2 linked regions of the Mus musculus genome follow. The protein of the gene in region 1 interacts with the protein of each later gene in a biochemical or structural test. Links are inferred from orthologs where the notes say so. Each region holds a gene or a part of one and is shown on either strand. Other genes may lie near its edges.

Region 1 (4,575 bases):
CGGAGCCCCCTCTTGTTCCCAGGGGAGCCTAGGAGCAGCTGGGCCAAAGCCCAACCAGGAATTTTTCCAGGCTGGTTCCTATATCCAAGGGTGGGTTAGAGGTGGGGGTTTTGGAGAGCTCTTAAGGAAGACACTGAGGACATGGAGAAGGGGACTTAGTAGAAAGAGAGGGGACAGAGCCACACGGGCTAAGTGTGCAAGCATAGAGAAATAGCCAAGGGTTTTAGGGAGAATGGGAGGACAGAGTACACCCCTGAATTCTGTTTAGAAGATGAACCGTAAGCCTAGGCTAGAACTGAGGGAGCCTCTACTCCCACCCTTCCGAGGGTTGGCGGCAGCGCTGGGCAGCTGGCCTACCTACCTTTCTGAATGCTAGGGTAGGTTTGAATCACCATGCCGGCCTGGCCCGCTTCTGCCCCCATTGGCACCCTGGCTTCAGTTCCCTGGCAACATCTCTGTGTGTGTGTGTGTGTGTGTGTGAGAGAGAGAGATCAGGAGGAACAAGGGCCTCTGTCTGCCCAGCTGTCTCTCCTTCAGGGCTCTGCCAGACTACACAGTGCATACGTGGGTTTCCACAGGTCGTCTCACTCCCCGCCACTGACTAACTCCAGAACTCCACTTCCCGTTCTCAGTGCCACAAATTTGGTGCCAAATTCTCTCCAGAGAAGCCTCTCTGGAAACTTCCCAGAGGATCCCATTCACCCCAGGGCCCTAGCTCCTGATGACTGCAGATCAGACAAGGGCTCAGATAAGCATACTCCCCCCCCCCCGTAACCCCCTCCCCACATATAAACCTAGAGTTATGCTTCCGAGGTCAAACACGCAACTTTTTGGGTGTGTGTGTATGTCAGAAACACGCAATTATTTGGGAGCTCAAAGTCTGCCGCACTCAAGAATCAACTCTCACCCCCTTTCCAAGACCCGTGCCATTTGAGCAAGAGTTGGGGTGTGCATAATGTAGTCACTAGGGGGCGCTCGGCCATCACGGGGAGATCGTGAACTTGGGCGAGCCGAGTCTGCGTGAGGGAGGACGCGTGTGTCAATGTGAGTGCGTGCATGCATGTGTGTGTGTGTGTAGTGTGTTTGTGAGGTGGGGGAGAAAGCCAGGGGTCACTCTAGTTGTCCCTATCCTCATACGTCCCTGCCAGCTCTCCGCCTTCCAACCCCTACTTTCTCCTATATTCCTGGGAAAGGGAATTGTTCTTAGACCCTGTCCGCATATAACCTCACTCTCCTGTCTCCCCTGATTCCCAATACTCTGGGATTCCCAGTGTGTTCCTGAGCCCAGTTTGAAGGGGTGCACAGATAATTTTGAGGCCGTGGACCCTGGTAAGGGGTTTAGCTTTCCATTTCGCGGTAGTGGCCTAGGGGCTCCCCGAAAGGCGGTGCCTGGCTCCACCAGACCGCTCCCCGGGGCGGGTCTGGGCGGGGCTTGGGGGTGGAGCTAGATTTCCTCTTTTTCTTCCACCGCTGTTACCGGTGAGAAGCGCAGAGGCTTGGGGCAGCCGAGCTGCAGCGAGGCCGCGGCACTGGGGGCGAGCTGAGCGGCGGCAGCGGAGCTCTGTCGCGAGACGCAGCGACAAGGCAGACTATTCAGCGGACTCACCAGCCCGGGAGTCTGTGCTCTGGGATTTGATATTCAAACCTCTTAATTTTTTTTTCTTAAACTGTATTGTTTTACGCTTTAATTTATTTTTGCTTCCTATTCCCCTCTTAAATCGTGCCAACGGTTTGAGGAGGTTGGTTCTTCACTCCCTCAAATCACTTCGGATTGTGGAAATCAGCAGACGAAAGAGGTATCAAGAGCTCCAGAGAGAAGTCAAGGAAGAGAGAGAGAGACCGGTCAGAGAGAGCGCGCTGGCGAGCGAACAGAGAGAGGGACAGGGGCAAAGTGACTGACCTGCTTTTGGGGGTGACCGCCAGAGCGCGGCGTGAGCCCTCCCCCTTGGGATCTTGCATCGGACCAGTCGCGCTGACGGACAGACAGACAGACACCGCCCCCAGCCCCAGCGCCCACCTCCTCGCCGGCGGGCTGCCGACGGTGGACGCGGCGGCGAGCCGCGAGGAACCGAAGCCCGCGCCCGGAGGCGGGGTGGAGGGGGTCGGGGCTCGCGGGATTGCACGGAAACTTTTCGTCCAACTTCTGGGCTCTTCTCGCTCCGTAGTAGCCGTGGTCTGCGCCGCAGGAGACAAACCGATCGGAGCTGGGAGAAGTGCTAGCTCGGGCCTGGAGAAGCCGGGGCCCGAGAAGAGAGGGGAGGAAGAGAAGGAAGAGGAGAGGGGGCCGCAGTGGGCGCTCGGCTCTCAGGAGCCGAGCTCATGGACGGGTGAGGCGGCCGTGTGCGCAGACAGTGCTCCAGCCGCGCGCGCGCCCCAGGCCCCGGCCCGGGCCTCGGTTCCAGAAGGGAGAGGAGCCCGCCAAGGCGCGCAAGAGAGCGGGCTGCCTCGCAGTCCGAGCCGGAGAGGGAGCGCGAGCCGCGCCGGCCCCGGACGGGCCTCCGAAACCATGAACTTTCTGCTCTCTTGGGTGCACTGGACCCTGGCTTTACTGCTGTACCTCCACCATGCCAAGGTAAGCGGTCGTGCCCGTCTGCTGTCGCCGGGCCGTGGCGAGCGCCTCTCCCGCTTGGGGACGTGCGTGCGTGCGAGCGCGCGCGTGGGGGGCTTCGTGCCCCACGCGGGTCCTTGGGCACCGGGCGCGAGGCGTCCCCCTCTGTCGTCGTACGTGGAGGGGGAGGGGGTGCGCGCTAGGTGGGAGGGCGCCAGGATCGTCTCGCCGCCCACGCGGGCCCTGCCCACCCACCAGAGTCACCGCACGTACGATCTGGGCCGAGCAGCGGAGGGCGGGAGCCAGAGGAGGAGGCTGAGGGGGCTGGGCTTGTGCCGAGGCTGGCGGCAGAAGTTTGCTCCGGGTCGCGGGTCCCCGGAGAACTGGAAGTCCGGGCAAAGGGGGCGGGAGTCCGGAGCCCAGCGGGCATGCCTGGGGGTGCTCGGACCTTGGACCCGGGGAGGGCAGAGATCGTGGAGGGGGCAGGGCGCGGGCGACCGAGGGGGCTTTGCTGTCACTGCCGTTTGGGTCTCTGAGGCCCTTGCAGTGAGTTTGGGGAAAGTTTTAGGATGGATTGCTGCGGGGACCCTCTCCCACCGCTCTAGCTTGTTGGGCCACCTGCACCGCGCCACCCCCTCCCGTCCCCGCTCGCGTCCCGCGCGGTGCCCGCCCTCCCCCGCCTGGCCGGGCGCGCGCGGCGCAGAGCCGATTACATCAGCCCGGGCCTGGCCGGCCTCGTGTTCCCGGAGCCGCGGCTGCCGGAGCCCGGAGACCCGGGCGACGAGCGGCGCCCCTCCCCCCACCGGCCCTCCGCGAGGAAGGTGACCTCTGGAGGTATCCCCAGCTCCGGGACCCGGAGAAACTCCCATACCTCTTTCCTCCGTTCCCAACTTCTACCCGTGCCTCGCGCTAGGAAGAATTTCCCGACGCCCCTTCCCCCTTTTCCCCATTTCCTGCCTGGTGTAAAAAGAGAAGCCCTTCCCACCCTTTTATATTTTCCTTTTCTTTGCGAAGACTCATCGGACCTTTCCTGGACCCAGGGTCCAGGAAAAGGACGGTGACTGTCAGGCGTGGGGGTGCTGAGGCCCACCCTCGGGTTCTTTGTGGAAACGCTGACCTAAGTTTTGAGTTGGTGAAGGTGTGCTCCCTCCTCCCCTCACAGCTGTGCTTCAGGTTTTTTTTTTTTTTTGCGGGGGGGGGGGTGGATCAACGAAGGGTGGACTGACATCACCCCATTTCCCACCCCCACCCCCCCTTTGGAAACATGACTTGATATTTGCTCTGACAGGGGCAGCCTGGAACCAGCCCTTTCCCATACCTTTGGCAGGATCCCTTGTCAGTCAGTATCTCTCACACACTTTGTCCTGGCAAAGCCCGATGCCCAGAGAGCAGGTGGTTTAACTGCGAACTTGCCCACCCAACTTGCCTACCAAAGGGTCCTTTCATGCTTATTTCCACGAAGCTTCAGTTGTAGAGCCTTCTTGGAAAGGAGGCAGAAGGAAGGAGAAGGGCAGGTGTCCCTGCCACCATCCAGAGTTCCCCAGACCCTGGCACAAAGGCCTTGGTTCTGGGCCTCCATGTGGGGAGGAGGATAGGAGTGCTTGGCCACAGTGTGACCTTCAGAGGCCCCCAGAGAAGGACACCTGGCCAGTCCCTGCCTTAGAACCTCCCCATCTGGGAAGGGGTTCAAAGTTTCTGTTCCCTTTCTCCACGGGGGGCTAGACAGAAGAATAAGGAGAATGTCATGGGGCTATTGAGGGGGTAGTGAGGGCCTACAGTGCAGAATCCAGGGCCAACCTGAGGCAGCTGGAATGGGGAAGCTATCTCTTGAGAAGGGTCACCTCTGACCTTGGCCCTGGTGGCAAGACTGAGGGTCCCTGGATGAACTGCTCTTAGGGGACAGAGACAGACCAAGGGTGGGAGTTGGTCCTTCTGGGGCAGTTGGAGGTCCAGGTTGGTTGAGGAAGGTGGCAACAGGAGACCCTCAGGAAGGCCTGCCTGGAAGCCTTGGCTTGCTTCCACTGTCA
Region 2 (3,810 bases), on another chromosome or scaffold:
GATTCTGGAGGTGTCAATCAGACTTTCTAAGTGACTAGATAGACAAGGAAGTAAGTGAAGATGAACTGACCTACATTTATCCCCTGTTATCTTGCTTTTGAATTCTGGGCTAAATGACAAGGCAAAGTCCATCACATGCTAAGGATCCTGCCAGGGCTAAGGGCTTTGTTTACTTCCAGCCCAAACCCATCCTTACTTGCACAGTCTTCCTGAGAAATATGGTTGTTAATACTGATATCATCCACAGCAATTCCACCAAGGTTTCCTTTTCCGATTTCACCTTCAAAAATAACCTGAAAAAAAAAGAGATGATTTTCACGATATTTTCAAGTTCTGTCTCTTCAGCATCAATGTTTACACTCTCTCAGTTGAAGTGTTGGCATAAGTTCATGAGACTGCATGTAAGTTAAATTCATGAAATTGCACAAAAGTTAGTTATTCTTCTCTATTAGTGGTAGAGATGATTCAAACATGCAGTTTTCAAAAGATAAACTTTAAAAAGGAAGAAAATATTTAAACAAAAGGGATGCTATCTATGACATCTCAGAAATAAGTTATGATGAGGAGTATTTTTTCCTGATGTCATCTAAGAGACAGTGGGATATGTCACCAACCCAAACATTATGGAGGCAAGAGTTTAGGGTGGTAAAGAATTTTACACATTATCCCAGTGTCCTGAAAACCTTAGCCCTCCTTTTGTGCATACCTGATATAGTTTCAGAGATTTGTGCAGCAAGACACGTCCTTCTTTCCAGTGGTCTCCTTGGTGCCCAACCACCATCCAGACCAGTTGATCATATTCCTCTGGCTTCTGGTAGCGTAGTTTGACCCTCAGTGTACCCACATGAGAGCCGGACATGTGATACCAGAAGGTCATACAGTGGGCAGAGCTCTGGGAATAGACCACAGGGCTCACCAGGCGGGCTACTTTGCCTTTCTGATTTTCATCAGCTTGGGAATAGATGAAGTTGCCATCTCCTGCTGAGGCAAAACTGTGTGTCAGGGAGACCAGCAAAATTTTTACAGATCTTTTCTCTCTCTCTTGCCAAGTACTACCCAGAAACACATTCTTCTGGGCTGGGTACCAAGGAACCAAGCAGCCAGTGAAGAAAGCAGATGCAATTATTGGGAACCCCATAGGCACTGGTGGCCATGCTCAAAGAGGCTTTAAATAGACTCTGAGTACTGTTTACCCAGATCATGGTATCACAGGGAACTAGACTACATATTATATCTGTCTTCATACTATCAAAGGTAGACTCTAAGCACAGTCTATCTACAGACTTTGAAGAAAGTGTCTGACTAATGTTTAAGCACATCCATGTACACTCAGATACCCAGGGCATTAGCTGAGATACTGATTCTGGGAAGCAACCTGTTGGCTGCTTAATGTGTTTTTTTTTTCTATTACACTTTTCATTCATATATATACATATACATATATATATATATATATATATATATATATATATATATATACACACACACATATATATATGTATGCATATATATACACACATACATATTCTTGTGTGTAGATGCATGTATATATATGTATTTGTGTATGTTTGTGTGTGCACACATGTATGCACATGCTTGCTTCTATAGTCAAGTACATGCATGTGTGCAGGAGCTCATACTATGCTTGTAGAAGATAGAGAACAACCTTAGGTATTATTTTTCAGGTGCTAACCATTTTTTTTTTTTTTGAGACTGAGTCTTAACAACTTACAACTCCAAAAAAGGATAGGCTAGCTGGCCAGCAAACTCAGAGCAAACACCTGTCTCTAGAGCTAGGAAAACAAGTGTAAGCCACCATACCTGGTTTGTTTGTTTTTGATTTTTAAAAGATTGATTCTAAGGAATGAATTCATATCCTTGTGTTTACAAAGCAAGCACTTTTTTTTTCCTGACTGAGCCATCTTGCCAATTCCTAAACATCTTTAAAAATTGTTCTTATTTTCCCTTTAGTTCATGTTAATGATCTATGTGTGTGCCCAAGAGTTTGATTCTCATTTGCAAGCTTGCTTCTGTTTGCTGTGCTTCCGGCCTAAGAAGAAGTAAGTTTGCATATCTGAGGCTCATTTGAACATGCTGTTTTGGCAATGGTGATGTTTGTGGTGCCATAAGGACTTGCTGTTGTCTCTGCTTTAATCACCCCCAGTGGGAACGACTGTTCTTGCTTCCACCTGGTCTAAACACACAACCTGTGGGCCACTTTTTGCTCTATGAATAGGAATCACAAACTCCCACACCTCACATGATGTAACTGGAAATGTAATGTGATGCTTAGGTCTCGGAAGGCAGCGGGGTGCTTCCTCTGCTGGCCTATGGGCTTGTAAACCTACGAGGTACCTTTTCACTGTGCATGTGTGGGCATGTCCTTATGCTTTATTTCAGTAGTGTCTAAGTGTTTTAGTAAGCAGCGCCCTTTCCTTACTAGGCAATCAACCTAAGCTCTCATAGATGCTCTTATTAAGTCAGTGAATGGATCCATAAATTTCCCTGACTGTTTGAGTCATGTGTGAGTCTCTCTCTCTCTCTCTCTCTCTCTCTCTCTCTCTCTGTGTGTGTGTGTGTGTGTGTGTGTGATGATCAGAAATGTATGCTGGGCATTCCTTAATCAGTTCTCCACTTTGTTTTAAGACAGGGTCTCTTAGTGAACTTTAAGTCTCTGATTTGGTTAGATTGGCTGACCATCAGTGCCAAAGACCCTCTAGTCTCCCCAACAGTGGGATTATAAGTACACAAGGCCACACCTGGCTTTTTATGAGTGCTAGAGACATGAACTCAGGTCCTTGTGTTTGCATGAGAGCCACTTTACTATAGAACCATTTCCTGAGTCCTCACTGGGTTCTCTATTGCTCTTACAGCATGCCTCTGCCCCTGGGCACCCCTCCAGCCACAATGTGATGATTTCTACCTACAACTAGACATCAGGTCCTCCTCCTTATCCTCCTTCAGCACCCACGAACATTATGAAAAAAAAAGTCTATGCTCAAGTCCTTTGGGCAAAATGGTTGAGTGCAATGCACAATCTGTGTTGGTGAGTTCCAAAATTTTGAGTTCAACCAACTTCAGATAAAAAAATATTCCAAATTATGTCCATATTGAACAAATGTTTTTTCCCCTTAAACAACACATTGTAGGGACTATTCACATAACATTTGTGTTATATTAGGTACTATAATTAAAATAGAAATCTTTTTATCTAGAGGTAAATATAGGTAGAGTTTATGCAAATGTGTTATTTAATGTGAGGCACATATGGAAGCCAATTGTACATATATTTCCAGTGCTGAGCACGGCAGCTGCTGGGTAAAAGACCTGCTGAAATGACATTTTTTTTTTCAGTGAACAAAGGAAGAGGCTGGAATCCGTTATAAAGAGGTACACAGATCTATTCCTATAGTCAAAAGCACAAAACCCAATGGGAATCCTTTACATTCAAAATTAGGAATTTTACTTAAGTAGTAATAATTTAAAAATGCTTTCACATCCAATTTGCAAAGTTCATCATTATCATTGTTTTTGAGAAGGGGTTTCACTATGCGGCCTGGGCTGGCCTTGAACTTGTGGTCCTCATGCTGAGGGCCAGGATTCTAGTGAGCACCACTGTGCCTAGCTTCCAAATACTATTAAAAGTGCAGGGAAGGGGTTGCAGCTCAGTTTGTGCAATGTTTGCCTAGCATGCATTAAGTCCTGGCTTCATTCTCTAGTATCATAAATCTGGGGATTGTGGCAGATGCCTATAACCTTAGCAATCCAAAGTGGAGGCGGGAGGATCAGAAATTCAAGGTTCTCATCAGC

The links.
Region 2: the proteins of Vegfa (region 1) and Nrp1 form a complex in vitro, tested with the Homo sapiens proteins (8 studies listed by BioGRID, with this or other methods). The link is inferred for Mus musculus from reciprocal best matches to the Homo sapiens genes VEGFA and NRP1.

Annotation. Positions count from the first base shown.
Region 1 is NC_000083.6:46,029,288-46,033,862, reverse strand, and holds the start of Vegfa (vascular endothelial growth factor A), read left to right. Parts: upstream 1-1,485; 5' UTR 1,486-1,972; coding exon 1,973-2,572; intron 2,573-4,575.
Region 2 is NC_000074.6:128,494,988-128,498,797, reverse strand, and holds part of Nrp1 (neuropilin-1 isoform 1 precursor), read right to left. Parts: intron 979-3,810; coding exon 707-978; intron 294-706; coding exon 197-293; intron 1-196. UniProt on the Homo sapiens protein: Cell-surface receptor involved in the development of the cardiovascular system, in angiogenesis, in the formation of certain neuronal circuits and in organogenesis outside the nervous system. Mediates the chemorepulsant activity of semaphorins.